7 linked regions of the Macaca fascicularis genome follow. The protein of the gene in region 2 interacts with the protein of the main gene of each other region in a pairwise test. Links are inferred from orthologs where the notes say so. Each region holds a gene or a part of one and is shown on either strand. Other genes may lie near its edges. The genes, in order: SIAH2, UBE2I, KLHL12, ARK2N, GMCL1, TRIM54 and TRIM38.

What was found.
Region 1: the proteins of UBE2I (region 2) and SIAH2 interact in a two-hybrid assay, tested with the Homo sapiens proteins (3 studies listed by BioGRID and IntAct). The link is inferred for Macaca fascicularis from reciprocal best matches to the Homo sapiens genes UBE2I and SIAH2.
Region 3: the proteins of UBE2I (region 2) and KLHL12 interact in a two-hybrid assay, tested with the Homo sapiens proteins (2 studies listed by BioGRID). The two-hybrid records come from large-scale screens. The link is inferred for Macaca fascicularis from reciprocal best matches to the Homo sapiens genes UBE2I and KLHL12.
Region 4: the proteins of UBE2I (region 2) and ARK2N interact in a two-hybrid assay, tested with the Homo sapiens proteins (2 studies listed by BioGRID and IntAct). The two-hybrid records come from large-scale screens. The link is inferred for Macaca fascicularis from reciprocal best matches to the Homo sapiens genes UBE2I and ARK2N.
Region 5: the proteins of UBE2I (region 2) and GMCL1 interact in binary tests that used the Homo sapiens proteins (3 or more experiments, as listed by UniProt). The two-hybrid records come from large-scale screens. The link is inferred for Macaca fascicularis from reciprocal best matches to the Homo sapiens genes UBE2I and GMCL1.
Region 6: the proteins of UBE2I (region 2) and TRIM54 interact in a two-hybrid assay, tested with the Homo sapiens proteins (3 studies listed by BioGRID and IntAct). The link is inferred for Macaca fascicularis from reciprocal best matches to the Homo sapiens genes UBE2I and TRIM54.
Region 7: the proteins of UBE2I (region 2) and TRIM38 interact in a two-hybrid assay, tested with the Homo sapiens proteins (2 studies listed by BioGRID). The two-hybrid records come from large-scale screens. The link is inferred for Macaca fascicularis from reciprocal best matches to the Homo sapiens genes UBE2I and TRIM38.

Annotation. Positions count from the first base shown.
Region 1 is NC_088376.1:53,611,089-53,615,367, reverse strand, and holds the start of SIAH2 (E3 ubiquitin-protein ligase SIAH2), read left to right. Parts: upstream 1-1,479; 5' UTR 1,480-1,795; coding exon 1,796-2,212; intron 2,213-4,279. UniProt on the Homo sapiens protein: E3 ubiquitin-protein ligase that mediates ubiquitination and subsequent proteasomal degradation of target proteins.
Region 2 is NC_088394.1:2,054,568-2,058,666, reverse strand, and holds the start of UBE2I (SUMO-conjugating enzyme UBC9), read right to left. Parts: upstream 2,801-4,099; 5' UTR 2,527-2,800; intron 2,310-2,526; exon of another isoform or gene 2,172-2,309; intron 1-2,171. UniProt on the Homo sapiens protein: Accepts the ubiquitin-like proteins SUMO1, SUMO2, SUMO3, SUMO4 and SUMO1P1/SUMO5 from the UBLE1A-UBLE1B E1 complex and catalyzes their covalent attachment to other proteins with the help of an E3 ligase such as RANBP2, CBX4 and ZNF451.
Region 3 is NC_088375.1:60,679,069-60,683,074, reverse strand, and holds the start of KLHL12 (kelch-like protein 12), read left to right. Parts: upstream 1-1,206; 5' UTR 1,207-1,361; intron 1,362-3,239; 5' UTR 3,240-3,284; coding exon 3,285-3,479; intron 3,480-4,006. UniProt on the Homo sapiens protein: Substrate-specific adapter of a BCR (BTB-CUL3-RBX1) E3 ubiquitin ligase complex that acts as a negative regulator of Wnt signaling pathway and ER-Golgi transport.
Region 4 is NC_088392.1:43,648,450-43,652,645, reverse strand, and holds the start of ARK2N (protein ARK2N), read left to right. Parts: upstream 1-1,396; 5' UTR 1,397-1,609; intron 1,610-1,960; exon of another isoform or gene 1,961-2,226; intron 2,227-4,196. UniProt on the Homo sapiens protein: AMPK substrate important for exercise capacity and skeletal muscle function.
Region 5 is NC_088387.1:52,106,680-52,110,179, reverse strand, and holds part of GMCL1 (germ cell-less protein-like 1), read left to right. Parts: intron 1-2,339; coding exon 2,340-2,463; intron 2,464-2,848; coding exon of another isoform or gene 2,849-2,892; intron 2,893-3,500. UniProt on the Homo sapiens protein: Possible function in spermatogenesis. Enhances the degradation of MDM2 and increases the amount of p53 probably by modulating the nucleocytoplasmic transport.
Region 6 is NC_088387.1:94,935,227-94,939,238, reverse strand, and holds the start of TRIM54 (tripartite motif-containing protein 54), read left to right. Parts: upstream 1-1,212; 5' UTR 1,213-1,525; coding exon 1,526-1,693; intron 1,694-4,012. UniProt on the Homo sapiens protein: May bind and stabilize microtubules during myotubes formation.
Region 7 is NC_088378.1:146,961,088-146,964,587, reverse strand, and holds part of TRIM38 (E3 ubiquitin-protein ligase TRIM38), read left to right. Parts: intron 1-874; 5' UTR 875-904; coding exon 905-1,315; intron 1,316-3,500. UniProt on the Homo sapiens protein: E3 ubiquitin-protein and E3 SUMO-protein ligase that acts as a regulator of innate immunity. Acts as a negative regulator of type I interferon IFN-beta production by catalyzing 'Lys-48'-linked polyubiquitination of AZI2/NAP1, leading to its degradation.

The sequences.
Region 1 (4,279 bases), on a different chromosome or scaffold from region 2:
ATTCTCAGAGCTCCAATAGTAGCTGATACGTGATAAATGCTCAGGAAACATTTACCGAACGATTGAATATCTACAACTATTACGTTTTTTCAAGATTTATACCAAATTCCATCAATTCCATGCATGCAGTCATTCTATAGAAGCCCTTTGTAAGATTAAACTTTATTTCTTCTGGGCTCTAACGCCGTATTTCTTGGACAAATTGTATTCATTCATATTAAACATCCACTAATATTTTAAAAAGATAACAGCTAATGTTTAAATAGTGCTTATGATGAGCGAGGTTGTTTCAAAAGTTTGAAACATATTAAACTCATTTACTCCTCACTGCCCCACCTATAAGATAGGTATTGTTTTTATTCCACTTTTACAGTTGGAGGGAACCATTTTTCACTCAGTCTTAATAGTTGGTCCTTACCTCTGTGGCTCCTACAAATACCGATTTCCACCTAGGGTAACCCTTTCCCCAATTCTGGAATCGTTGGCTTAAGCAAAGTTTGCAGAAAAACAATTTAACTCGGAGCACACAGTTACATTTGGACATGCGGTTCACTCCGGGCTACGGTGCCCTCTCTAGCGCTTCTGCTGGGCGCGCAGGGTGGCCTACAGCTCGCAACAAAGACTCGGACTTCGGCCGGCTCTTTACCAAGCGGACTCAGCGCCCTACACTGGAGGCTCACCTACTGTCTTCAGAGACCTCACGACCCAACCCACGTTTCTGGCATTCCTAGATGATCTCGAACTCTTAGCCAACGCTGTCCATGAGCTCCCTCCTCGGCTATACAAGCCAGGGGCGCTTAATTCAACGAAGCTTCCTCCTGGTCCGCTGGGAAAGGAATAAAGGGGGCTTACCTCCTCCCCACCGCCCCCCTTCTTTACTCAACCCCACCGTTAACTGTACAAAACTAGGTCCTGTGCCCCCTGCAGACCCAACTCGGCCCCTCGCCCTGCTCCCACCCAATGCTTCCCGTCCTGACTCGGAACACAGAACTCGGTTGGCCGCGTCGCCCTCCTCGCCTGCACGCTGGTGACTCAACCCTGAGAAGACAAACCTCTCGGTTTTTTCCGACCAGTGCAGGGGCGCCGGCGCCCCGCCCCTGCCCGCCAGCGTACTGTCCCACCCACCGTCCACGCCCCCGCCCAGCCTGAAGTTGCCCTTCTCGTTTGAGCTGAGGGACGCGTCGGCCAGGCACCCCGGGGTGTGGCCAGAGGACTTCGGCGACGCCTTCCCCGAGAGTGGCCTCCCTCGCCAACCCGGAAAAGACAACCCCGCGGGGCTGCGGCGAGCCAGGCATGCTCACTGGCGCAGGCCCGGCCCGCAGCCCGAGCAGGAAGCGCCGGCGCTAGGCGGCCCCCTGCGCTGCCAGCTGGAGCCGGGCGGAGCCAGCGCCCCGGCGCAGGGTGGCTCTGCCAGTCCCCGCGCGCCTGGGCGGCCGCACACGTGTCCAGGCGTCACGTCCGCGCGCGCCCCCGGGGCTTGCGTCAGCGGCCGCTCCAGAAGCGGGTGGGCCGGGGCTCCTTGCGCACCGCTGGGTTCGGGGCCCGGACGCCGCTGGGAGGAGGGCATCGCGCGGGGTCCGACGCGGAGGCGTGCTCGGAACGCCGGGGGCTGGGGAGTGCATCAGCGCGGTCCAGCCCTCCGCCTGCCGGAGGCCGAGAGTCTCTGCCGCCCAGACCTGGGCTGGGCGCCGTGGCGTTGCCTCGGAGCTCGCTGCCCGCGGGGCGCGCACCGCCTTGACCCGGGCGGCCCCGCGGCAGGCAGGCGCCCGCAGTTCCATGGTTGGTTCGGAGCGCGATGAGCCGCCCGTCCTCCACCGGCCCCAGCGCTAATAAACCCTGCAGCAAGCAGCCGCCGCCGCAGCCCCAGCACACTCCGTCCCCGGCTGCGCCCCCGGCCGCTGCCACCATCTCGGCTGCGGGCCCCGGCTCGTCCGCGGTGCCCGCCGCGGCGGCGGTGATCTCGGGCCCCGGCGGCGGCGGCGGGGCCGGCCCGGTGTCCCCGCAGCACCACGAGCTGACCTCGCTCTTCGAGTGTCCGGTCTGCTTTGACTATGTCCTGCCTCCTATCCTGCAGTGCCAGGCCGGGCACCTGGTGTGTAACCAATGCCGCCAGAAGTTGAGCTGCTGCCCGACGTGCAGGGGCGCCCTGACGCCCAGCATCAGGAACCTGGCTATGGAGAAGGTGGCCTCGGCAGTCCTGTTTCCCTGTAAGGTAAGGCCAGGGACAGCCCGCGTATCTCCGCCGGTGACCTCAGGGACTCCGGTATCCTCCAGCCCACTGGCAGGCCCGGAAAGGCGGGCGGCATCTCTCATTTAAAAAAAAAAAAAAAAGAAAAAATGTTTACATTTCGTCTACCCTCCCTCAAACCCACTTTGGGAGTAGTTCTGGGTTGACATTTACCGAGTAATGGTTAATTGACAGTTAACAGATTAATTGGCATTCGCTGGTCGTCAGAACATCGTAGCTCACCCGGCCCAATGCCCGCGTCCTCTGCAGACATGTATTCGGGTACGCTCGATAGGGCTGGGCCGCACCAGTAAAACTTGGACCGAGAAACTGACTATGTGGGGACTGAGGAGGGAAGAAACGGGCGAGCTAAACGCACCCTTGTCCAGCGCTCGGCTTGGCTGAATTGATACTGGAGTCCTGCACCCCGCGCCTACAGTCTGCGCACCCCTGACACGTGGGAGCTCTCGGGAGTGTAGCTAAAAAAAGGGCGCCTACAGCCTGTTTTCTTCTAGCTAGAAGAAAACCCTGCAAGCCACGCCTTTTTCTCTCCTAGCCTTCCAAGGACTGGGAAGGACTGAGGAGTTGTGGCTGCGTTTTTGTACTATGTGGGGTGAAAACAGTCAATCAAGAAATTAACAAGGGCACTCAAGAGCTGTTGTTACAGTTGTTTAAAGCTCATCAGTTCATTTTTTATTTAATGTAAAAAGTTTTCAATGCCCTTGCGAAAAATGCAAGCCAAGACAATAAGTAAAATGAAAGACCAAGACCTCTCCCCTCCTTTCCCACCATTGTTAGGTTTAGTGTGTATCTTTTTAAACTATATATACATACACCCTCGCAGCTAAATATAGAATCATAGATGTCAGTGTATGTCAGGGAGGTTTTTTAATACCCACACATAGATGTAAGTTTTTCTCCAAAAATGGCATCTGCAACTTGCTGTTTTTAAATTCATATTATCATACATATTTCTCTATGCCTGAAACCTAGTCGACTTCACTGTATTTTAAATGACTGTATAGTATTGCATTGTGTGGTCATATTGTAACATTTGTTTACCTTCAGGAGCAGTTTCACAGACATACTTGTCTACATTACTTCATTATGACCTAGAACTATACTGTAAAGTTCATTTTCTGAAATTAGAAGTAGAAATATTGTCATTAATACTTTCCAGTTTTTTTGTAAAAGTAACTTGCTCTGCCTCTTGGGCCCTTTAGGCTGTCTTGTATTTCTCCTTGGTGCTGCTTATTTTATAGGACAAGAGCTCATTTTTAAATTAAAAATAATCCACCAGAGAATTCAGGCGTGGGACTCAGGTCAGTAAAATGAGTGCTTTAATTTGGTCTGCTGCCCTGCTGCAAATGAGGTTTAAAATAGCATATTTAAATAAGAGTTTGAATCAGTGTTTGGACTAGGGTGTTTCAGGCAACCTTAATAAATTGCTTTTAACCCCTCCTCATATAATGCTTACTAATTCACTCAGCCCAGTTTCTCAAAATTTAGATGAAGTATTTGCATAGTTGTCTTAGGGTTGTGAAAAAGGAGACAAAGGTTTGGTGGTAGTTAACATAGAGTGGCTATTTGATGTTTGAGATATATTGCAGGGGTGGGGGATGCCCCACAGGATTTCTGGGGAGCCATTTTCTCACCCCTTTACTTTCCCTTAAACCCGCAGTGGCTAACAAAAGAAATGGCTTTTAGGTGAGTTTTAGTTCACAAATGAGCATTTGATATTAGTCAGTAATCCATAATTTGTTTTTAAAATGTAACCTTAGAATTGTGTTGTTCCCAAGAGAAAGGGAAGGAAACAGTTATGCTATATGGAGCATGAAGTTTCACTTTCAGGATCTAGAACTCTGGTTCCTATGAAAGCATATGTTCTTTCCTAACGTGAAACAGGCTAGTGAAATCAACCTTGAAGAGTAGTTCTGGGAATCGGGGGTTCTCAGCCTTTCTGTACATGTCAGTGATTTTCTGAGTCTCTATTCCATAAGAATGCAGTTGGGCAAAGCCATTACTTTGCAAGCTGAAATTTAAAAGGGCCAA
Region 2 (4,099 bases):
GTGTCTCCACCCTCCACTTCCACATGGAGCAGCTCAGTTGTGGCTTGAGGACTCACAGCTCTCGCTTCCCCAGCCCCAGGGTGGGCTTCATGAGTAGCCACAGCCTGTGCCTGGTGCGGTGCAAAGCAGCCTGGTGAACGGCCGTTTTGAGGAGCCACGACCTCCCAGGTGCCCGGGGTCTGAGCGGGGCCAGGAATCAAGCAGGTCTCTGAAGCCCCAGGCCAGTGCTCCAGACACTGAAGGACCATGGCCAACACGATCCTCACAGCCAGGCAAGGCCAGGCCCCAGAGAGGCCAGCCCCAGAGAGGCCAGCCAGGCCTGGGACCCTGCCACAGGTAGCCCTCCTACTGAAGACCGGACAGAGCCACCTAGAGGCCCCCGTCCCAGCACCTAGCTATTGCTGTCTCAGATGTGAGAAGTCGTGAGGGTGCTCCTGTGAGACCTCCCGCCAAGGTCTGGCTGATGCTGCTGTATCCCCTGCCCCAAAGCACTCAGCACCACGGGGTGGTCTCACAGGAAACTGCACCACAGGGCAAGGAGCCACAGGTGCACACCCACCCTGTCCTAGGCAGAAGCCAGGCCCCTCCCCCTGCTCCCCCTCCTACTGGCCTCCTGGAGAAAGTGGCCAATGTGTTACAATGTAATCACAACACAGACGAAGCATTCAAAATCCCGCTGAAAATCGAATTTGCCCTTCCAAATTAACAGATAAGCACTAAGTGAATGGCTAGCAGTTACTAGACCCTTCAGAGCAGGGAACTTATATGAGGCAAAGACAAAAACAACCCTCATCTATCAGAGCCAAGCAAGGCCCAGACACTGCAGCAACCAGGACAGGGCCAAGCACTCCAGGAGTGGCCTGAAGGTCTGCCTTCTGTCCTGCTGGGCACCCGCGACCGGCTGAGCTTTAGCTTCTCGGATCACCACCTTGCTCTGCTGGTTGACAGCACCGACTTCCGAGCAACTTCCTGGCTGAAGGTGAGCAAAGCACTCACCTCTCACAACTCCACCGCACTCATCTCCACAACGGGTGGTCGCCACGACGGCTGGCACAAGAAGCCTGTAAAGGTCCTCCTGCACCCAAACGCAAACTCTCCCAGGCTTGGGGAGGTATTCCCTTCTGCAAGACCCAGGCACCTGCAGTCAGGAGACGCTCACCTGGCCGCACCTGATCTGCCCCAGGCCCCCAGAATGTTTCTGAAGCAAGATCCCAAACCCTGACACATCACACAAGCGCACACCTTCAACCACCCAGTGGTCTAGGGAAGGGACCTCTGAAGGAGCAATCAGGACAAACTCAGGTCCCGTCCTGTCTTCCGCTGCGCAGCTTCTCTACCCAAACGCAATGTTTCTTGTTCTTCAAAAAACATTCGGCGTAGGTCCTATAAAAGGAAACAAACCGAACTCCCCAAAGACAGGCACTTTGCAAACAGAGAAACAAAGCGTAACTTCCAATTATAAAAACGAAACCACTTCATTCTGCGATTCAAGCGTGACTACAGGCCACGATCACAAGCCCAGCTAATCACTCCCTTACCTTCCTCCCACGCACGTTAACTACCAGAGCCAACCACTATTCAACCGGTAAAAACCCATCCCCAAAACAATAAAACTCCCTCCAGCGAGGCGCTCACGTTCAGGGCCCCAGCAAGCGCCAGGGCAGCATCTTCAGAGGCGCAGGAAAACTTAAGACTTGTTTTGGTTTCAAGGCACCGAAAACAAGCCCGCTCGCCGGCCCCCACCCCCGCGAGCCAGCGGTGTTGCAATCCAAGAGTCTCCCCCGCGACCCATCCCCTCCGTCCGCGGGGCGACAGTGACCCCGGAAGCCGCTCCCCGCGCAGAAGGAAGGCGCGGCCTCGCGGGGCCCCGGCTGCAGGTGGCTGCCCCGGCCCCGCGCCAGGAGCACCTCGGGGGCGAAGTGGGGGAGCCCCGGCCCCCAAGGCCTGCGGCGGCCGGGGCGCTCGGGCCGCAGCCCCGCGGCGCCAGCAGCGCGGACCGAACCGGCGCCGAGCGTGGGGCCTCTCGGGCTCCCCGGGAAGCTCGGCCGCGGCGCGGGGCCCGGCTCGGCGGGGCGGGGCGCGGGGCAGCCGGGGGCCCGGGCCCGACAGGAGTAGAGGCCTCGGCCCGACCCCCGCCCCGCGGCCCCGGCCCGGCCCCCGCCCGCGCTCACCTCGGGCGGCCGCGGCCCCGGCGAGCGTCGCGGACAGGTGGAAGACCGAGCGGGGCGGCGGCGGCGGCGCTTCCCTTTGTCTCGGGACTTCCCTCCGGAGCCCGCTCCGCGCGCAGCCCGAGCAGCTCCGAGGACCCTGGCGCGGGCGGGGCGCGCGGGGCGGGGCCTGGTGCAGGGCTGCCCTCTGCACGCCTGCCTCGCGCGCTGCCACCGCCGCCCGGCCCCGAGCACCGCCCGCGCCGCCGCGCGCCCCCCGCTGCCCGTGCCCCGCCGCCGCGCGCCCGCGCCCCGGGTCCGCCCCAGGAGCCCGGCCGGGGGGGTGACTTTTCAGTCAGGCGGCGCCCTGGACACCTACGCCCTTAAAGGAGCCGCGTCCCCGATGTGAGGGAGCGTCTGTAAACTCCCCTTCGGGGTGCCCGCGTCCACCCGAGGACACGCCGGCGAGCAGCGGGGGATAAAGGAGGCCGAGATCTCCAAAAGCTCCCCGGATGCCCGGCGGTCACCTCTCCAGGCACAGGTCTCCGAGGTTTCCTTGGGGTCAGAGCCTGGGGCCGGGGGGCAAAGACCACTGAGGCCTAAGGATTCCCAGAAGCGTCGCAGGACGGTGACGCTCCCGCGAGTTCAGCGCCCTGTGAAACCTCTTGCAATTGGCCATTTCTGGGCGGTGGGCGGAGAGACCTTCTCATCTGCCCAATGAGCCGACCCCGTACAAAAGGCCGAAAGCGAGCATGACCGACGGGAGGAGAAGTGTGGATGCTCCCTAATCCGGGGGCGGGCCCTGGGCGGGGGCGGGGCGTGGGGAGACTACGAGCGGCGGGGGCGGGGCGAGCCCTTGGGGGAGGGGCGCTTCCGGGCAACAGCCCCCCACCCCCCGCCCACGCAACTCCCGAGACCGGTCGAGAGGCCCCCAGCCCCGCGAGCGCGCGGGATACTCCGTTCGCCAACGCGCGGTCGTGCTGGCCCCGGGGCTCTCCCGGTCCCCCCGCCCCCCATTTCGCCGACGGCGGGGCCGCCGCCAAGGTCACGGTGTCCGGGTGCTTGGGGACCGCGGGGACTGACCACATTCATTCATTCCCTCCCTCATTCATTCATTCCCTCCCCCACTCACTCATTCCCTCTCTCCCTCATTCCCTGCCTGACTCATTCATTCAATCCCTCCATCACTCAATCATTCCTTCCCTCCCTCACTCATTCCCACCCTCATTCATTCCCGCCCTCATTCATTCCCGCCCTCATTCCCTTTCGCACTCATTCCCTCCCTTACTGCTTCATTCATTCCTTCTCTCCCTCACTCATTCCCTCCTTCATTAATTCCCACCCTCCCTCATTCCCTCCATCATTCATTCCTTCCCTCCCTCACTCATTTCCTCCCTCATTCATTTGTTCCTTCTCTCCCTTACTCATTCCCTCCCTCACTCATTCATTCCTCCCTCCCTCATTCCCTCCCTCACTCATTCATTCCCTCCCTCACTCATTCCCTCCCTCACTCATTTCCTCCCTCGTTCATTCGTTCCTTCTCTCCCTTACTCATTCCCTCCCTCACTCATTCATTCCCTCCCTCCCTCATTCCCTCCCTCACTCATTCATTCCCTCCCTCACTCATTCATTCCCTCCCTCACTCATTCCCTCCCTCCCTCACTCATTCCCTCCCTCCTTCACTCATTCCCTCCCTCCTTCACTCATTCCCTCCCTCCCTCCCTCATTCCCTCCCTCCCTCATTCCCTCCCTCACTCATTCATTCCCTTCCTCACTCATTCCCTCCCTCACTCATTTCCTCCCTCCTTCACTCATTCCCTCCCTCACTCACTCATTCCCTCCCTCCTTCACTCATTCCCTCCCTCACTCATTTCCTCCCTCACTCATTCCTTCCCTCATTCATTCATTCCTTCCCTCCCTCACTCATTCCCTCCCTCCCTCATTCATTCCCT
Region 3 (4,006 bases), on a different chromosome or scaffold from region 2:
TAATTAACCTCTTTGCCTTTTCAGTCACTAAGATAAGTGCACCAAAATCAATTAGAATTTACTGAATCAATTAGAATTTCCTTAGAATCAATTCAGCGGTGATGACAGGGACCATTATGATGCAGAGTATATACTGAGGTCTGTGGGTCGCAGGGCTCAGAGGATTCTCGCCGCAGCGTTGTTCGGCACGAAAAGGCCATTGTGGACAATGGACGTGAAAAAATTTGAGGCCTCTGTGGGTTTTCTCGATGTCAAAAAGTTTCTCAGTACCTGGAAGGTAAAACATACTTGCTGCAATCAGATGCTTGGCATATTAAGCGTTGGAATTCTCTCTGTGTGCCCTGCCTCGTGAGCAGTAGGGAGGAACTCAGGCTCAGACAGTCGCTGAGCTGTAGATACATTCCCAGGCTCCCTGCCGGACCCCACAACATCCGGCCTTTTTTGTTTTTTCTTTCTTTTTTTTTTTTTTTTTTTTGGAGACGGCGTTTCAGTCGGTCGCCCAGGCTTGAGTGCAGTGGCGCGATCTCGGCTCACTGCAACCTCCGCCTCCTGGGTTCTAGCGATTCTCCTGCCTTAGCCTCCTGAGTAGCTGGGATTACAGACGCGTGCGACAACGCCCGGCTAATGTTTTTTGTATTTTTAGTACAGATGGGGTTTCACCATGTTGGCCAGGCTGGTCTCAAATTCCTGACCTCAAGTAATACACCCGCCTTGGCCTCCCAAAGTGCAGGGATTATAGGCGTGAGCCACCACGCCCGGACTTTTTTTTTTTTTTTTTTTTCAACAGGGTCTCTGCAGTGGCGACTCTGGCTCACTGCAACCTCTGCGCCTAGCTCAAGTGATCCTCCTGCCTCAGCCTCCCTAGTAGCTGGGACTACAGTCGGGGCCACCACGCCGCGCTAATTTTTTTTTTTTTTTTTTTTTTAGAAACGGGGTTTTGCCGTGTTCCCCAGGCGGGTGTGGAACTCCGGAGCTCAGGTAATTCGCTCGCCTCGGCCTGCCAAAGTGCCGGGATTACAGGCGTGAGCCACCATGCCCTGCCCACCAGACCTTTTTCTAATTCGGCTTCCTAGCAACGTGCAGAGGCCCGGCACCAGGGTGCAGGCAGGTCACGTGACACCACCTCTTCACGTGACGCAGACTCGAGCGGGAGGAGGGCGGTGCTCCAGCTGCATTGCGTCATCACGTCGCGCGGCCGCAGGGACCAGACCTGGACGGCTCCAGAGCCTCCAGAGCCTCCGGGTGGGGGCGGCGGCGGCGGCTCTTCGGCTCTTCCTGAGCCGCCTGCTGGCCCCGCGCCCCACTCCATCCCCACAGGCTGGGGACGGGCCCGGCGCTGCTGTGTGGGCTCGGGAGCGGAGGTGAGTTGCGCGGAAGTGATGGCAGTCAGCCCTTCCCTTCCTGTCCGTCAACTCCGGGTTATGGCCCTACCCCCCATCCTTGGTCTCCCTGTAAGGCGGAATGGGAGACATGCCGGAGAGAGGAGGAAGGCTGGCGGGGGGGCGGGGCATCTGGCCTCAGTCGCCCTCTCAACTCTCCCCTGAATTGCCCCCCTGCGGTACCTCCATCTGGCGGCGCCGGTCATATGCCTGGTGGTATCAGAAGGAAGGAGTTCGTTTCCTTCTCTAGAATGTAGTCTTTCCGGAATTTACTACCCCATTCCTGCCCCGAATCTCCCGAAGTGGAATCCCTCTATTCAGATGTTAACGGAAGTTCTAGAAAATAGGTCACTTCAGAAGGGTGAGGGTGAAGGATATGCTGAGACTTGGAGTGTTGAGGCAGGAATCCCCTAGAAGGAAGGCCACTCTGCACTAGGGGTACTGTCATTTTGGCACGGAAACGATAAAACACCCCCCAGGCTGTCTTCACTGTAAATGGACATTTGTTCCAGACTCTTTTTGCACCCCTAGAGTTGAAACTAAGTTGACTTAAGTCTTTTTGAAAAACATATGCTTTGATGAATCACCCCCTTTTCTGCAAAATGGGTCATGCAGTTGTTGGAGGGATTATCTATAGCGCTTATAGAGTAAAATGCCAACTATAAACAGAAGTAGATGAGAATTTAGGATCTCATTTTTCCTGTTGAAAAATTACTTGTGAGTTGCGAACTTCTGGAGACCACAGTTTTATTTCCTGCCGTCCCCCTACCCCCGCCCCGCCGGATCGTTTCAGAAAGTTTTGGATTCCAATATTGATTCGTTAACCAGTAATGGACATTTACAGATATAGAGTAGGAATACCCTCTTGTTGAGGAGCTTCAATATCTTAAGCAAGTGTAAGTCCATCGATAACTTGCGTGGTTTCCACTATTCAGTTAGGGTAATAGGTCAATTGAAGTTTCTTTCTTTTTTTTTTTGAGACAGAGTCTCGCCCTATTGCCAGGCTGGAGTGCGGTGGTGTGATCTCATCTCAATTCAACCTCCACCTCCTGGGTTCAAGCGATTCTCGTGCCTCAGCCTCCTTGGTAGCTAGGATTACAGGCGCGCGTCACCACACCTGGCTATTTTTTGTATTTTTAGTGGAGGCTAGGTTTCACCATGTTGGCCAGGCTGGTGTCAAACTCCTGACCTCAACTGATCCACCCATTTCAGCCTCCTAAAGTGCTGGGATTACAGGCGTGAGCTACTGGGCCTGGCCTGAAGTTTCATTTTAAGAAGAAATCCAGATATAGCTGAAAGTCATCAGACATAATTATTTGGCTACTTCTTTAGAAAAAAGTTTATTTTTACTGACTGGCCTTTCTCTAAGTTGAAGTTGAATACACACTTTTTCTTACATTAAATTGTAAACATTCATTGTGCAACTTCTAGGATAGAAAGCATACATATAAAGCAGGATCCTCAGCCTCTAAATACTTATCTACTTAAGGATATTAAATAGTAATGATATAACACCTTTAAGAAATTGTATATTTTCAATTTGTCATTTGAGACAAGAACCTTGTGAAGATTTACAGGACATATATTGTTTATCTCTACTTACGTTTCAACATTGATCATAATAAATGTCAAGTGGTAGGGACACTCCGTGATAGAGGAATTCAGAGAAAGAAGAGAGAACTTTTACATGTACTAGATAGTGGCTAGATAGTGGTGGTGATGCCAGGCATAGGAGTGCCCTCAACTTGTGTATGTTTGGGTCTGAGGGAAGCCTCTTAGGTTCTTAATTTGTAAAACTAATTAAATATGTTCAGTTTCCCTAGTTCTTTGAATATGCTCATTGTTTTTTTTCTCTTGTAGCTTCAGAATCCAAGGACCCATTTTGTTTTTTCTCCGCACTGCTTTATGGGAGGCATTATGGCCCCCAAAGACATAATGACAAATACTCATGCTAAATCCATCCTCAATTCAATGAACTCCCTCAGGAAGAGCAATACCCTCTGTGATGTGACATTGAGAGTAGAGCAGAAGGATTTCCCTGCCCATCGGATTGTGCTGGCTGCCTGTAGTGATTACTTCTGTGCCATGTTCACTAGTGAGGTAAGTGATAAGTTAGCCCCACACAAATGAAACTCCCGTGGTACTCTAGTTGTCTTATTTCACTGAATAAAATAGTAGAACTTTGATATAATTGTGAATTTTTACAGTGTGATGTTTTGGCAGATTCTGGATAAGATCTACCACTTAGATGACTATGCTTTAGTTTCCTCATCTTTAAGTTAGGAATAATAGTAATATGTAATAACTGGTTATTAAGGTTATTGTGAAGATTATTTTATGAAATAACGTACAAAATGCTTAGAGTAGTTTAATATGCAGTAAAACACAAATGTCAGCTATTGGATTTTACTATTTCTTAAATTTGTTTTCCAATTTTTCTCCTTTTTTTGTTTTTAATTTTATTTATTTATGTATTTATTTGTAGAGACAGGGTCTCACTGTGTTGCCCAGGCTGGTCTTGAACTCCTGGGCTCAAGCAATCCTCCCACCTTGGCCTCCCAGAGTGGCCACATCTGGCATTACAGGTGTGAGCCACTGCACCCGGCCTTTTCTCCTTCTAAAGTCTA
Region 4 (4,196 bases), on a different chromosome or scaffold from region 2:
GCACTTTGGGAGGCTGAGGCGGGTGGAGAACCTGAGGTCAGGAGTTCGAGACTAGCCTGGCCAACATGGTGAAACCCTGTCTCTACTAAAAAATATTAAAAATTAGCCGGGCGTGGTGGCATGCGCCTGTAATCCCAGCTACTCGGGAGGCTGAGGCAGGAGAATCGCTTGAACTGGGGGGGCAGAGGTTGCAGTGAGCCAAGATGGCGCCACTACACTCCAGTCTGGGTGACAGAGCAAGACTCTGTCTCAAGAAAAAAACAAAACAAAACAGAACAAAAAACAAAGAAACAACAATAACAACAAAAAACAGGAGAAGGACCCAAGATGGTATCTCAGTAGTCAGGGCAGTATTCCCACAGCATTGGTTAGATCAGACTGTCATGGAATCTTTTAAAAACTCAGTGTGTTAGTCCACATTCACTCATTCATTTTCGGACAGTTGTGATCTTAGTAGTGATTTTTTCTTTGCTTTTCTTTTTTTCCTGCAAGAGGCTGGGCTCTTGTCACTACCCCACAACCTCTCAAATCCCTTGAGGACTCAGGTAGCAGAAAGTAAATACATGAATGAACGAGTGAAATAACATATACAGATAAACTACTTAGCTAGCACACACTACGTTCTCAGTGATTCTCAATGAGGCAGTGGTGGCTGTGGTTAAGAAGTAAGCTCTGCCTGTGTTGTAATCCAACACTGCCACTTACTTGGATGTGTCATCTTGGGCAGGTCACTCTGTGCCTCAGTTTCCACCTTTGCAACTTGGGGCTAGTAATGCCATCCAACTCATAGGGTTGTTATGAGTTGTAAAGAGGATTCATTGAATTTAACCCATTTAAATGCAAAGTGCCTGGTATGTAATAGGCATTCAATAAAAGTTATTTTCTTTTCATAATTATTCTTGTAGTTAGGGATGAAAAACTCGCACTCCTGTAGGCAGTCAGAAAAAATGAGTGAAGTGGGGGAACTAATGGGCCTGGTCTGAAGGGGGATACTGATGTTTAGGGGAGTACGGACTCAGTAGTGTAAGATTTTCAGAATCTCCTCTTGACGGGTCTCATCCGAGGTTCCAGCACAGCTCTGTAAAGGTGAAAGCTTTATTATTATTATTTTTCTTCTCAAAACACTGCAGTGCTTTGGGTGAGCGCGGGTCCTTGGCCAGATCTTGAGTCGTGAGATGCGTCTTCAGCATCTCCTGCTTCTCCTTGGGAAGCCCTCTACCCGCCAGTTGGCCCGCGCCCTCCTCCCCGTTCTCGGGGTTCGATCCACCTCCTTTCCCCTACCCTCCTAAGGGCTGACTGCAAATCGGAGGGCGACTGCAGAGGCGGAATTCGGGGCAGAGCGGCGTCTCCCCTGCGGGCCCCGTCCCACCAGCAGGTGGCGGTCGATCTGCAAGGCCTGCAAGGTGCCCCGGCAGAAACTTGAGCAGATGTTGGTGCCGCTGCCCAAGAAGACCTCAGCCTAGTCTCCCCGAGCCCGGCTGAGTCTCCGCGAGCCCAGCTGTCCGCATCCGCGAAAAAGCGGGGAGAGAAGGGCGCGGGCCCTCCGGAGGCTGGAGCGACTCAAAGATTCAGACACCGCGAGCTGCTTTCGGAAGGGCTTCAGGAGGGGGTGAGTACTGAGCAGCGCACAGAAAAGGGAGCGCTGTCCTTTGTTGAAGGCATTGTCCTTGTCTTGCATTGAGTGGCTTTCACACACCCCGGGAAAGACATTTCTGGAAGGAGACAGTCTCAACAGAAGGAGGGAGCGCGGGAAAGAAGCCCGGGGAGCTGGCGCCTTTACGCCCCGCGGTCTGCAGCGGGAGGAGCGCGGGTTCCATCGCGCCAGATGGCGCTGTCTGGCTTTTCTCGGGCCTCGGGCGCCAGTCTCCAGAGGTCCCCGGCGCAGCAGCCTCTCTAGCCGGCCGACGCAGGCTCTGTGTTTCCGGGCGGAAGTGAGGCGCCGAGCGGAACGGCCTCTGGTGACATTTTCTTGGGGGCGGCGCGGACGACTGAAGGGACTTGGTGGTAGAGGCTGCGGAGGCGGCGAGGTTCACTTTGATCCCGGCAGGGGCTCTGACCGCGACCCTCTGCTCGCCGCCGGCGCTTGTTCCGAGGAGGAGAAGGCGGCGGTGGCCGTCGCGTCCTGAGTCACCGCAGCGGGGAGAGTCCCAGCCGGGGGGTCGGTGCGTGCCCCGACGGGGCGCGCGCGGAGCGAGCGAGGAGGCACGGAGTCGCAGCGGAGCGCAGGTGAGGCGGGAAGGGGCGCAGGGCCGCGGCCTGGCTACTGGTCGAGTTGCGGAGCCCGGGCTGCGTCCCAGGGATGCGTCGGGGCGAGTCGGAGGGCTGCGGGCCGCGGTGAGGGCTCTGCGGCGTCCGGACGCTGGGATCCTGGCGGGCCCGGCTGGTGGGCGCCGGGAACTCGCAGCCTGGACTGGCGTCTGACGCGGGGGCATCGCACCGCTCCAACCTCCTTGCTCGTCAGCCGCTGGTGACCCTAGCGTCCTCCCGGCCCGGCGGAGTTGGCTACGGCACCCCAAGCCCCCAGACGCTGGGGCCGGGTCGAGGCAAGTCCTTTTCCGTGGGGTACTAAGGAGAGGCTGGAGGTGCCGCAGTCCCCGGGCTGCGGGGGGAAGCGGCTTCACGGCGTTGGAGTTGTCTTCACGCAACTTTCTGGCTCCTAGGCCCGCCTGGGAAGCAGTGGCGGCAACTCCGCCAGCTCCGCGAGCCGGGGGTCTGGCGCCGATACCTGCCCCTGCAGTGGAGAGCTCCAGGGCTGCGGCCGCAGTGGCCTTGGAGGAGGGAGAAAAGGCTTTCTTAGGCTTGGCGCCGCCTGCCTCTCGGCGTTTCCACTACCTTCGGTCGGCAGGCGCCTCCGGTCAATGGGAGAGATGTGTCAGTCTCCAAAATTGACCGCTTCTGGGGAGTTCGTCAACTTTATTTCAAAACCGGTGAGGATGTACACTGACGAACCCGGCTTAAAGACTATCGCCTTTACGCAAGCCATTCATTCTCACTTTTAAATTGTCCGCCTACCCCCCACCCCACTCCGTCCCCGGCAGCCCCCATCACAAAATTGATGTTCGCAGGTTGAAGTAGAGAACATCGGTAGGAGCCCTCCCAGATAGATCCTTGAGCAGTTTCGGCTTGGATGGGTTTTTCGTTTTTTGCCTGACCTTTTGCTTTTTGAATCCTCCCACCCAGTAAAATTAAAATCCCACTGATAATACTTCGTCAAGGTTGGACTTCTTAATTACAAATACATCTGCCAATTTTGCTTAGGCTATTATTGTGTAGTATTGGGTACATGCTAACAGTTTGAATCACTCCCTTTCTTCTCTTGGGATATTTTAAGGATGGAAGCTATTAACTTTCTAATGTAGTTTTGCTGATCCTGGCAATCTAGATTCCTCCAGTAATCAGAGCATTGCCTTTTGGTTTAACAAGCATTTTTAGAGGCCTGCAATTGATAGTTACTACCTGATGTCCTGAGGAGTCACATCGCTATTTTATTTATTTATTTATTTATTTGAGACGGAGTCTGCTCTGTAGCCCAGGCTGGAGTTCAGTGGTGTGATCTCTGCTCACTGCAACCTCCGCCTCCCGGGTCCTGGTTCAAGCAATTATCCTGCCTCAGCCTCCCGAGTAGCTGGGATTACGGACACGAGCCACGCCCAGCTAATTTTTGTATTTTTAGTAGAGACGGGGTTTCACCACGTTGGCCAGGCTGCTCTTGAACTCCTGACCTCGTGATCCGCTCTCCTCAGCTTCCCAAAGTGCTGGAATTACAGGCGTGAGCCACCGCGCCCGGCCTGAATCAGATTTCTTAATGGGAAAAATTTTTTTTCTGACACATTTTTGGGAAAATTTTTTTTTCTGACACCTTTTTGTGAAAAATGGGATGGACTGGACATTGGAGCTGGAAACTTTCCCCATTGTTAGAATAAGTTCACAGTGTAGTTGTTACTTACTCACTTTATATTACTTTAACATGCATCTATTTGAGAGTAGCTGTCATAATCTTTGTTTTATGGTTATCATGATTAATTCAAAACCCATATAGTAAAGATAAATTCAGCTTTAGGTTCTAATTTAATGCAGTTCCTTTAGGACTGAGGGCTAATGCATGTCCTTCAAAGGTTTCTTGCTCCTAATGTTAATAGTGACATTGGTACTTTCAGTCTTTTTATTGTATGACTAGTAAATTCTGTGCGCTTGTG
Region 5 (3,500 bases), on a different chromosome or scaffold from region 2:
CTATTTCCAATGTACCTCTTCTTTGAGTAAGAAGACTACTAACTTGGTTATAGGTGGGGCATGCTTTGTAGAGCAGAGTTTCCCAAGCTTTCATGGATCACAGCACATTTCATGTTTTAGTAATTTTCACTCCTAGTCCAAAAGAAATAGCTCATAATTAGGGCCAAACAACCTAATGATAGCAGATTGCATGGTATCTGAAAGGTGTTACTGTGTTTCCTTCAAATTTAAAATATTCCACATGCCTCTCTGAGTTGGCTGTGGTGCTCTAAGTTCAGATGGTATCCTGAACTGGTGAATTTCACACAGAGTTTGGGAACCATGACTCAGGGTGAATGGATTGGGAGTGAACAGGCCACAGATTCTTTAAATTTCAGAATGAGGATTGCTTTGTCTGGGCACCAGCAGCTACACTACAGCCTTAGATCTTCCATTAGCTTTGTGCTGTTTCTAGAAAAGCCTTGGAATATTTTTGCCTCAGTATCTGTACTCTCCTTATCTATAATCTGTGTTCATAGAGTGGAGAAGGCACTAATTTCCCCATTTTCTGCCCCTCTTCTTTCTTCTGCCTTTGTTTCCCTGAGACCTCATCCTACTTTTCTCCCAAGGGTTCTAACGGGCAGATAAGCTTAGCCTCCATCCTAGCCCTCCATAATGTATTTTTTGGCTATGGCTTTCACTGTTCTTTTTCATTTGAATTTATTTTCTAACCTTCAGATCTGTGTAAATCTCTCATCAAGTGATGAGTCTACCCTTTACCTTTTCCTGGTGTGGACTTATTCCTTTTTGTACTCTTAATCTTTAATGTAATTTGGGGAGGGATGGGAAGCCAACATGTGTACATTCTGCTATCAGGAACTGGAAACTACATTGTCTCTTGATTTCTTATCATAATCAATGAAGTGGGTACTATTAATGTCCTCTTTTTACAGCTGTGATAACTGAACAGGGGGGCAGCTAGGACTCAAACCCAAGTCTGTTACCACTAAGGCATGTGCTGTTTTTATTGTTGGCTAGGAAGAGGTGTTAAGTACACAGGTGTTAAACTCACCGGTTCAGGATGTCATCTGAAACAATTACTTCATTTTAAAAAAGAGATTGAGGGCCGGGCGCGGTGGCTCAAGCCTGTAATCCCAGTACTTTGGGAGGCTGAGACGGGCGGATCACGAGATCAGGAGATCGAGTCCATCCTGGCTAACACAGTGAAACCCCATCTCTACTAAAAAATACAAAAAAAAAAAAAACTAGCCGGGCGAGGTGGCAGGCGCCTGTAGTCCCAGCTACTCGGGAGGCTGAGGCAGGAGAATGGCGTGAACCCGGGAGGCGGAGCTTGCGGTGAGCTGAGATCTGGCCACTGCACTCCAGCCTGGGCGACAGAGCAAGACTCCGTCTCAAAAAAAAAAAAAAAAAAAAAAAAAAAAAAGAGAGAGATTGAAAGTTTTATGTGCTAGGAAAGCTGTCAGAATTGGTCAGGAATTTGAGATATTGATCAGCCTCTGCCTAGAGCCTTTTCTTGGTTACTGGACCATTTTGAGCAATAATTTTCAAACTTTATTTTTTTAGTCAAGTTCTTCCTTTAAATTAAATCTGTGCAGAAATCCCGTATGTTTACAGATATAATAGGTGATGCTGCTCTGGTTCAAGTTAGATGGGATACTCACAGTTCACTCCTCAGCTCTCCTTGGTGGCCCCTAAGACTTCTCCTTTGAGCAGTTTTTAAAAACCTTTCATCTGAAATAAATAAATAAATAAATTTAAAAAACTAATAAGAAAATAAAATCTTTGATCTAAGGTTGCAAACCATTTGTCCAGCGGGAAGAAAACATTTTAAGTAGTTTAAGAATAGGTTGGTACCAAAGTAAGATTAAATGTAAATCATTTTAAAATTACTTGGGTAAGTGAAATGTTTACTCTTGTTCTCCATTTCCTAGTTGCAGATTATTGCACTATTTGAGTTCCTTCATAGTGCTGGTTTTTAAATAAGGAAATAAGCAAAAAAATCAACATGCTAACTTCTTAATCTATTGAATAGGTAATTAAATTAGTCCAAAATTGCTAAAATGTGTGTAGTGAAAAGTCTGCCTCCCATGCCGCCCCCATTTCTCCACTATCTCTCTCATGCATAGAGGACCCCAGAGATAACCACTATTGTTAATTTCTTATGTACTCTTCTAGACACAAGAAAATTTGAATATATACTCTCCCCCTATCCTTTTACACAATAGGTAAGTTGACTCTATTTAATAGAAATTGAATAAAAGGAGTATTTAGAAATATATGCAAAATCAGTAAAACATTCAATTTATATAAATATGTGACTTTTTCATTTCTTTTAACAGGAAAAAATTAAAGAGTACATCTAAATATATTTATCAAACATTATTTTTGAATGGTGAAAACAGTGACATTAAGATTTGTGCTCTAGGAGAAGAATGGAGCTTACACAAAATATATTTATGTCAAGTAAGTATTTTTTCTATTTGAGTAACAGAGTAATCACTTAAACTCTTAAATCATGTTCTTTCTCATTGCACTTCACAGTAATCTTTTGCATGAACACCATAGTGGTTAAATCCTCTCATTTGGTAAAATGTCTGTAAGAAAAATGGTAAGCATTGTTAGTGAAAACTAAGTTTGGTCTAGAAAGAGATTTTGAGATTTCAGTATCATACGAGCCTAATACTACGTATTTGTCATTACTTCATAAAGTGCTTTTTTCAGTGTCTTCTGTTGATAAAAGGGGAATAGTTGGGGAAAAATATTTAACATTAAAGTTAAGATCGTAATGTGTTTATTTTGCTTATGGTTATTTAAATTGGATAAACTCACCTGAAATGTTGCTTTGTAGTTCACATTGAGTGTGAGTGGAAAGTTCTCCCCTGGAAAATCCAGGTAAAGACAACACCAAAAAGTATATAGACTAAGTCGATTTCTGTACTGAAAATATTACTACTTGCACCCCACTTTAAAAATTCAGAACTTTCATAGCCGGCGTGGTGATGGGCACCTGTAATCCCAGCTACTCAGGAGGCTGAGACAGGAGAATTGCTTCAGCCTGGGAGATGGAGGTTGCAGTGAGCTGAGATCGTGCCACTGCACTCCAGCCTGGGTAACAGAGCGAGACTCTGTCTTAAAAAAAAAAAAAAAAAAAAAAAAATCAGAGTTTTCAAAATAGAATACAATGTTGCTCTAAGGGCCCAAATATTTTATTCCAGATATTGGTCTAGGCACTAGGAATAAAACAACAGTTTTTATCGTTTGGAACTTATATTTTTCCTCTTTACCATTTGAGAATAATTACTGGTAAGACAGTATAGTATAAACTTTTTCAGTAGAAGTATTTGGAAAGGAATTGCCTTCTCTAACATTTTAATCATGTTTTAAAATGTGTTTTTGAGACCGGGTGCGGTGGCTCACGCCTGTAATCCCAGCACTTTGAGAGGCCGAGATGGGCGGATCACAAGGTCAGGAGATTGAGACCATCCTGGCTAACACCGTGA
Region 6 (4,012 bases), on a different chromosome or scaffold from region 2:
AAAATAGGGGCATGAAATATGTGATCCGGAGAAGATTGCACTTTCTGGACTCTTTTCCCACTCTTGCCTCTTTGTGCTGCTGTTTCGTATCCTCCTCACACCGTGTATTTCCTACCCACTCAGGGTCACTAGCTACTAACTCCTCAGACTTCTCTTCCTGGACTGGGAGAAGGGCTAAAGAATGGCGGTAAATAAAAGAGCTTTTGTCCAATCCCAAGGCATATTTTGGACCCAGAAAAGACAAATTGTGTCTGGGGTGGAGGAAAAAGGCCTAAAGAAATTGCTTCTTGGCTTTTTGGCTAATATCAAGTGGAGAAAAAGACCTGTAGGAGAAAAAGAAGACCAGTGCTCACAACTGGGGCGAGCCTGGCTTGGAGAGGAGGAGTCCTGGACAACTGTGGAGCTGGGGCAGAGGCTTCCTGGAGCCTTATGATTATGACTTTGTCAGTGCTCTAAAATTTCCCTGGAGGTTGATTCCCTGGGTGCCCAAAATAGGTCCCTGGCATTCATGTCCTTTCTGCCCAGCTCACCTTCTCCCAATTTCCTAACAAATTTGAAGTCCTTAGAGTGGCTCCAGGGATGTGTTCACGAACCAGAATCCCACATTTCCTCGGGCGCATGCTCATAGGTAGGTCCAGGCCTTGGCACAGTACTCATTTCTAGCCTCTTGAGCTTCATTTCCTAGGGTGATATAAGAAAAGGCAGGCAAGAACAAAAATGAGCCAGAGGTATTGGACAAGAGGCTTGATGGAGTCTCTGGAGCTGCTGTTCTGAATCACACAGTCTTGAGGAGGAGGACCAGGGTCACTGGCTGAGCCTGTGGAGGAGGCAACTGCTACTGACTCTAAGTCTGGCAAGATCTTTCCTCCCACCCTGAGCTATGTATGGGTGCTTCTCACACAGGCAGATTTAGATTCTGTGTCACTGTCCTGGAAGAAGGGCCCAAGCCAGAGCAGGGGTCCTGGGCTCAGAGGAGCCTTCAGAGTGAGAGGGCAGCACCTTTGCTGACCCACCTTTCACCGTAAGCAGTGGTGCTTGCCCCTGCCCTTGCTCAGGGGAGTCACCCATTCCTGAGTGAGTCAGGGTCACTCACTCCGTGACAGCTGTGGCTCGCCTTACATGAGCTAAATTGGGAATTGGAATGTCATGCAGATGCCCCTTGTCTCCCCACCCCCACAGTAAAATTAATCTCCTCTCTGGGGAGTAAGGGACAAACAGTGCTACCCACAGAGTGAACAAGAGAGAGTCATTTGGGAAACAAAAGGAGGACTTTACAGAGAGAGAGGGATAGCTAAAACTACGTGAGCCTGCCGAGGGTGCAGAGCAGAAAGTAGAGACAGAAGTGTCTGAAGACTGCTATCTGGGACGAGACAAGTTGTTAAAGGGACAGGAGAGAGAGCAGAGCTATTTCAAGAGTGAGCCACAGAAGGGAATCCACAGGCCGTCTGAGTGAGGAAGGGTCTACAGACAGTGAGTGAAGGCCAGGAGCAGGACCCAAGCCAGGGTAGGCACAACCACCGAGGGGATGAACTTCACCGTGGGTTTCAAGCCGCTGCTAGGGGATGCACACAGCATGGACAACCTGGAGAAGCAGCTCATCTGCCCCATCTGCCTGGAGATGTTCTCCAAACCAGTGGTGATCCTGCCCTGCCAACACAACCTGTGCCGCAAGTGTGCCAACGACGTCTTCCAGGTGGGCGCCAGGGATGGGGCAGGGCCAGGTAAAGCAATGCAGACCTGTGGGGGACTGATCAGGTCAGAGCTAAGACCCCAGAAAGTGATGGATAGAGTGCTCTCTGAGGTAGGTGGTGGCTGTTGTGGCTGGAGAGCAGAAGGGCTGGGGTCCAAGCAAATCCCAGAGCAAGCATGAGTCAGCAGCTGCCCTGCAGGCTGGCAGGTACAGCCTGTCCATAGACGGCAGCTGGAGTGCTGGGATCTGCTGAGGAAAGGAGACCCTGTGGAAACTGGGAGGGAGGGGATCCTACACCGGCCTTTTAAGAGCCTGTGCCAGACTCTGCATTCCAGTTTGGAGTTTCACACTTTGAGAGCATTGCGGAAAATACGGAGAAAAGATTAATGAGATAATGAAACATTAAAAAACAAACAGAAAAAACCCAACCCTGTGAGAAAGCTCCATAATGGCAGTAAAACGATTCGTGTTTAAGGAAAGTTCAGGGCATCCGTTGTGGGGGACAGAGTTAGACGCAGTGGGCAGGAGACTGGGAACTCTCCCCAACTTGAGTTCATACCTGTTACCTCCAGATTGTTGAGTAAAGAGGCCTACTGGTTCAAAGCTATTGAGGTCACTTGACAAGAAGAGAGAAGGCAAAGAAATTTACTTTTAGAAGTCTAGCCAGTTTTGGTTTATTTGTGGTCATGGAGCCAAGCATAGCTAATCAAATTCACAGATACCATTTTAGCCACTGGTTTAGAAATAAAAGCTGCATATACCAGAATGGATTATAAGTGGGCTTTTTTTTCTTTTCCTGTGCTACCGGGGAGGTTCTAGTAGGCTATGAAATGGAACAGAGATCAGGGTGAGGGGCAAAGGCACACACACACACACACACACACACACACACACGCGGCCTTGCCGATTAAGCAAAAGCTCTGAATGTGGCCGGGCGTGGTGGCTCACGCCTGTAATCCCAGCACTTTGGGAGGCGAGGCCGGCGGATCACGAGGTCAGGAGTTCGAGACCGGCCTGGCCAATATGGTGAAACCCCATCTCTACCAAAAATACAAAAATTAGCTAGGCGTGGTGGCAGGCGCCTGTAGTCCCAGCTCCTCAGGAGGCTGAGGCAGGAGAATCACTTGAACCCAGGAGGCGGAGGTTGCCATGAGTCGAGATCATGCCATTGTACTCTGACCTGGGTGACAGAGCAAGACTCTGTCTCAAAAACACAAAAACAAACCCTGAATAGACCAGAGCTGGCTTAGTATGTGTGTCAGTGATACGGAACATCCCAAACAAGTATTCTTCAGTGTCAGAAATGATGAGGAAATGTGTTAAACACAAGGGATTTTTAACCTAACCAAGAAAATACTTCCCTCTTAAGTTCCTCGGGGCAGCTTGTTTGGGAAAGGAATGGACTGGCTAGGTCCCGCCATCCCACGATGTACCCTGTGACCCGCCCCTTGTATGTCTGCTGTGTGTCATCTTCACTGCAGACCAGCACTCTGTGGTCTCTCCTGCCATCTTCCCATTGAGGCCCATTCCCTCTCCTATTCTTTTATGTGTCCAAACCTGCCATTATTCAGCTCCAGAGTATCTCAGAGGCAGTAGATTTTCCGTCTCGGGGGACCCAGACCAAATGCTATGCCTCCTCATCCTGGGCATGAAGTCCTGCATGAGAGGCAATGCTTTGCCCACCATCTTGGTGTTTCCTTGGTCTGAGGAATTCCGAACATCCTTCAGGCTGAGATGCCTAGGAGGAAATGGCGGAAAGATTTTGCCATCATTTCTCATGAACTGACAGTGAAACATCCTCTCACTGGAACTTGAAATGTGTGAAAACAAAGAGAAGTTTTGAAAGTTAAGGTGACGTGTCCTATAGAAAAGTGGTCAGAATGTCCAAGAGCATTCCTGGGTGCCTCTGTCGTCTGGCAGAGGGGCCCAGGAGCAGTCCCCATACATGGAGGCTAGAATGTGTTCAAGTGACATGCTTGTTTAAGTCAACCCTTTCTACCCAAGCACACTGTTTCAGTTCCAGAAAGCTCTGGAATACTGATCTGGGCTCAGAGAGACCTTGGAATGGCTTGGGGCAAACCCTGTACAGAATATTTGGAGATAACGTGATACCCAGGGCTTTGGGGTGGCCCTGTGGGTCTGGAGTGATGTGTGTCGTTTGAGGTGCAGAGCAGCCCTGGCCCCTCCAAGGAGGAAGAGTGAAGAGCTCATCCCTTGCTGCTTATTTGGGAGGGCCTGGTGGGAGGCTGACCCAGTTCTTCAGCTGCACTCAAGTCTGTATATCTCAATATATCTCAGTAGATCTCCCTCGGAAAGATGAGC
Region 7 (3,500 bases), on a different chromosome or scaffold from region 2:
TCTCATAAGAAAAGAAAAAGAGCCCGGGTGCAGTGGCTCATTCCTGTAATCTCGGCACTTTGGGAGACTGAGGCAGGTGGATCACAAGGTCAAGAGATCGAGACCATCCTGGCCAAGCAACATGGTGAAACCCCGTCTCTACTAAAAAATACAAAAATTAGCTGGGCGTAGTGGCGCACCACTGTAGACCCAGCTGTTCGGGAGGCTGAGGCAGGAGAATCACTTCAACCGGGGAGGCGGAGGTTACAGTGAGTCGAGATCACACCACTGCACTCCAGTCTGAGCGACAGAGTGAGACTCTGGCTCATTAGAAAAAAAAAAAAAAAAATAGAAGACTGAGAAAAGAAAAATAGTTTAGAGCAGTCTGAGCTATGTGAGGTATGCAAAATTTATCAGGACCAGTGAGACAGGAGTATGGGTCTTCAGTTAAGACCCCATGTTTAAAAGCATTTTGTTCCTGACTGGCTGCCTCATCTATTACCTACATGTTCCTGAGATTTGTAATAAAAAGAACAATGTATAGCCAATCAAAAGCTTATGCTATTTTAATGTAAATTCTTGGTAAACAATTTTAAAAACGGCTTTAAAACTGCTTTTTTTTCCCCTTAAATAACCACTTGCAACTGCTTGCTAACGAGGACAACTTGAAACTCTGCATCTGGGTTGCAGTTCTCAATCGTGGCCCAAACAAACTCAGCCTCAGCTTCTTCCTTTTAAGTCCTCTTTTCTTCAATACAAAATGAGATAATAGGGGTTGGAAGGAAAACCTTCAAGACCTATGGAGGTCAGTAGCAGCCAGCTCATCACATAGAGGTGCAGGTGAGGTGTATTTTCATCATGGTAAAAATTCTGGCTGCTTCATCTCCATCTCTAGAGCCAACATTGGAGCTTTTCAATAAAAGCTATGGCCTCAACCACCAGCACCAAGAAGATGATGGAGGAAGCCACCTGCTCCATCTGCCTGAGCCTGATGACGAACCCAGTAAGCATCAACTGTGGACACAGCTACTGCCACTTGTGTATAACGGACTTCTTTAAAAACCCAAGCCAAAAGCGACTGAGGCAGGAGACGTTCTGCTGTCCCCAGTGTCGGGCTCCATTTCACATGCATAGCCTCCGACCGAACAAGCAGCTGGGAAGCCTCATTGAAGCCCTCAAAGAGATGGATCAAGAGATGTCATGTGAGGAACACGGAGAGCAGCTCCACCTGTTCTGTGAAGACGAGGGGCAGCTCATCTGCTGGCGCTGTGAGCGGGCACCACAGCACAAAGGGCACACCACAGCTCTTGTTGAAGATGTATGCCAGGGCTACAAGGTGAGTGTGTGGGTCAGGGGGCCTTGGTAAGTACCAAATCTTATCCTGCTCCCAGGAGCTGAGATGATTTAGCCTGAAACCTAATATTATGGTTTGGAAATACAGCTTTCATTATGTCATTCTTCTGAAAAATAGTTTATGATGATTTCTTGCTAAATTATCTAGACTGTCCGTTCTGACCTTCAATGGGATGGTTGGACTCATCTCTATCCATCTGTGTTATGATGAATTTCTCCTTGCTTTAGAACAGGTTGTTCTCAAACCAAACACCCACATTTTTTCTTGCTTCACACTATGAATATCATTTGAAAAACCACAATATGTAAAACCATGCAGTAGGGCCTGCAAACAGGGAAGAAAGACCCATTACCTTTTAGGTATCTACAGTCTAGTAAAGAAGATAAACCATCAAAAATGTCTGCCTGGAGGTCCCTGGTTTTGGTGGTGGGGAGGGACATTTAGGGTAGGGAGTGGTTCATCTCAGAAGTAACTCTTGAAGGACACATAAAAATTGAACACCTATTGGGGGATTTTCATTTGGGGAATGAAGGGTCAGTGACATTGAAAATATCACTCTGGTACCTATACTTTTTTTTTTTTTTTGAGATAGGGTCTTGCTCTGTGTCCCAGGTTGGAGTGCAATGGTGTAGTCTCGGCTCACTGCAGCCTCAACCTCCTGGGGCTCAAGCAATCCTCCCACCTCAGCCTCCCAAGTAGCTAGGACTACAGGAATGCACCACTATACCCGGATAATTTTTTTATTTTTTGTACAGACATGGTCTGGATTTCTTGCTTATACTGGCCTCAAACCCCTGATCTCCCTCCCATCTCAGCCTCCCAAAATGCTGGGATTAGAGGCATGAACCACAGTGCCCAGCTACTCTGGCATGTCTATAATAAAAGGAATATCAAGGAGTAAAATTCAAACTATCCATATAAGAAAGGGAGGAGAGGGCAGATTTTAAGCAAGATTCAGGAAGAAGAGTAAAAGATTTGGAAATGCTTGGTTGTGGAAGGTGAAGCAGAGGGAGAGGTTTTGTGTACCATCCAGGCTTCTTGCCAGAAAGCATATTAAGGAAGGAGGGACTTTGCTGTTGGCAGCATGGAGGAATGGGCATAGTCCTGATGTCCTTTTTCCTTTTCTGTCCTGCCTAGATTTGAGGAAAATGTTGCCCCCTGTGTCAGGCTCCTTATTCTGTCCTCCACGAGACAGAGGTGGTCTTGTATGAAGGCTCTAAGTCCTTCTAAGGACATGTCAATCCTGACCCCTACTCAGCTCATGGCAGCTCTTCCTTAAACTCCATGGAACAGCTAATAACTGCAATGATGATATTCCAATTTGAATTACTTTTCCACCAAGTAGTAAGAAAAGGAGGCTGCTTATGTTGAAATTGAGTTTGGTCACTTACTAGATGGGCAATTTTGGGCATGTTATTTAATGTCTTGACACCTTGGTTTCCCCATCTGTAAATGGGGATAATAGCAGTGTCCTCCCTCCCTAAAACACACACACAGGAGGTGGTTATAAGCTTTGAGGACATTAAAATATAGAATGCATAGAATAGCACTTGGCATATAGCAAGGACAATGTCATCTTTTGCTAAAACAGTTACATAGAGCCCTTTCCTGAGAATGCTCGAGAATTAATGAGTATACTTGTTGGGTTTAGAGAGGACAGGAGACAATTCTTTTAGCATTGATTACAATTAGCAATTTGGGTCAGCTTCAAATCACTTGGCATCCTGATTTTTCATGACTCATAAGACACAAAATTTCATGTGTGCCAAACACTGGTATTGGTTTTGCTTGGTTCAGCATGTTATTTTACAAAATCTTTTAGATGATGATTACCTTGTTCTATATATAACTTTTTCCTGGCAGGACTCTAGTGGAGGGTGTAGCTCAGGCTCTGGGTCAGCAGATGAGGGTGCAATGCTCCACCAGCTGGCAGCCATAGCCCTTTGGGCAAGTTATTTTACCCCTTTCTTAGCCTCATTTTCTACAGCACAGCAATGATGTTTAAAATCCTACCAACTATTCAGGGTTGCCAAGGGGATCAGTATGTTCCTGCACATATAGCCTTTAGCATGCTCTCTAGCAAAAAACAAGGAGGACTCAATAAATATTCACTATTATTCAAATATATCTTAGAAAACTGGGATTCCCCCTAGGTCCCTAATGAAGA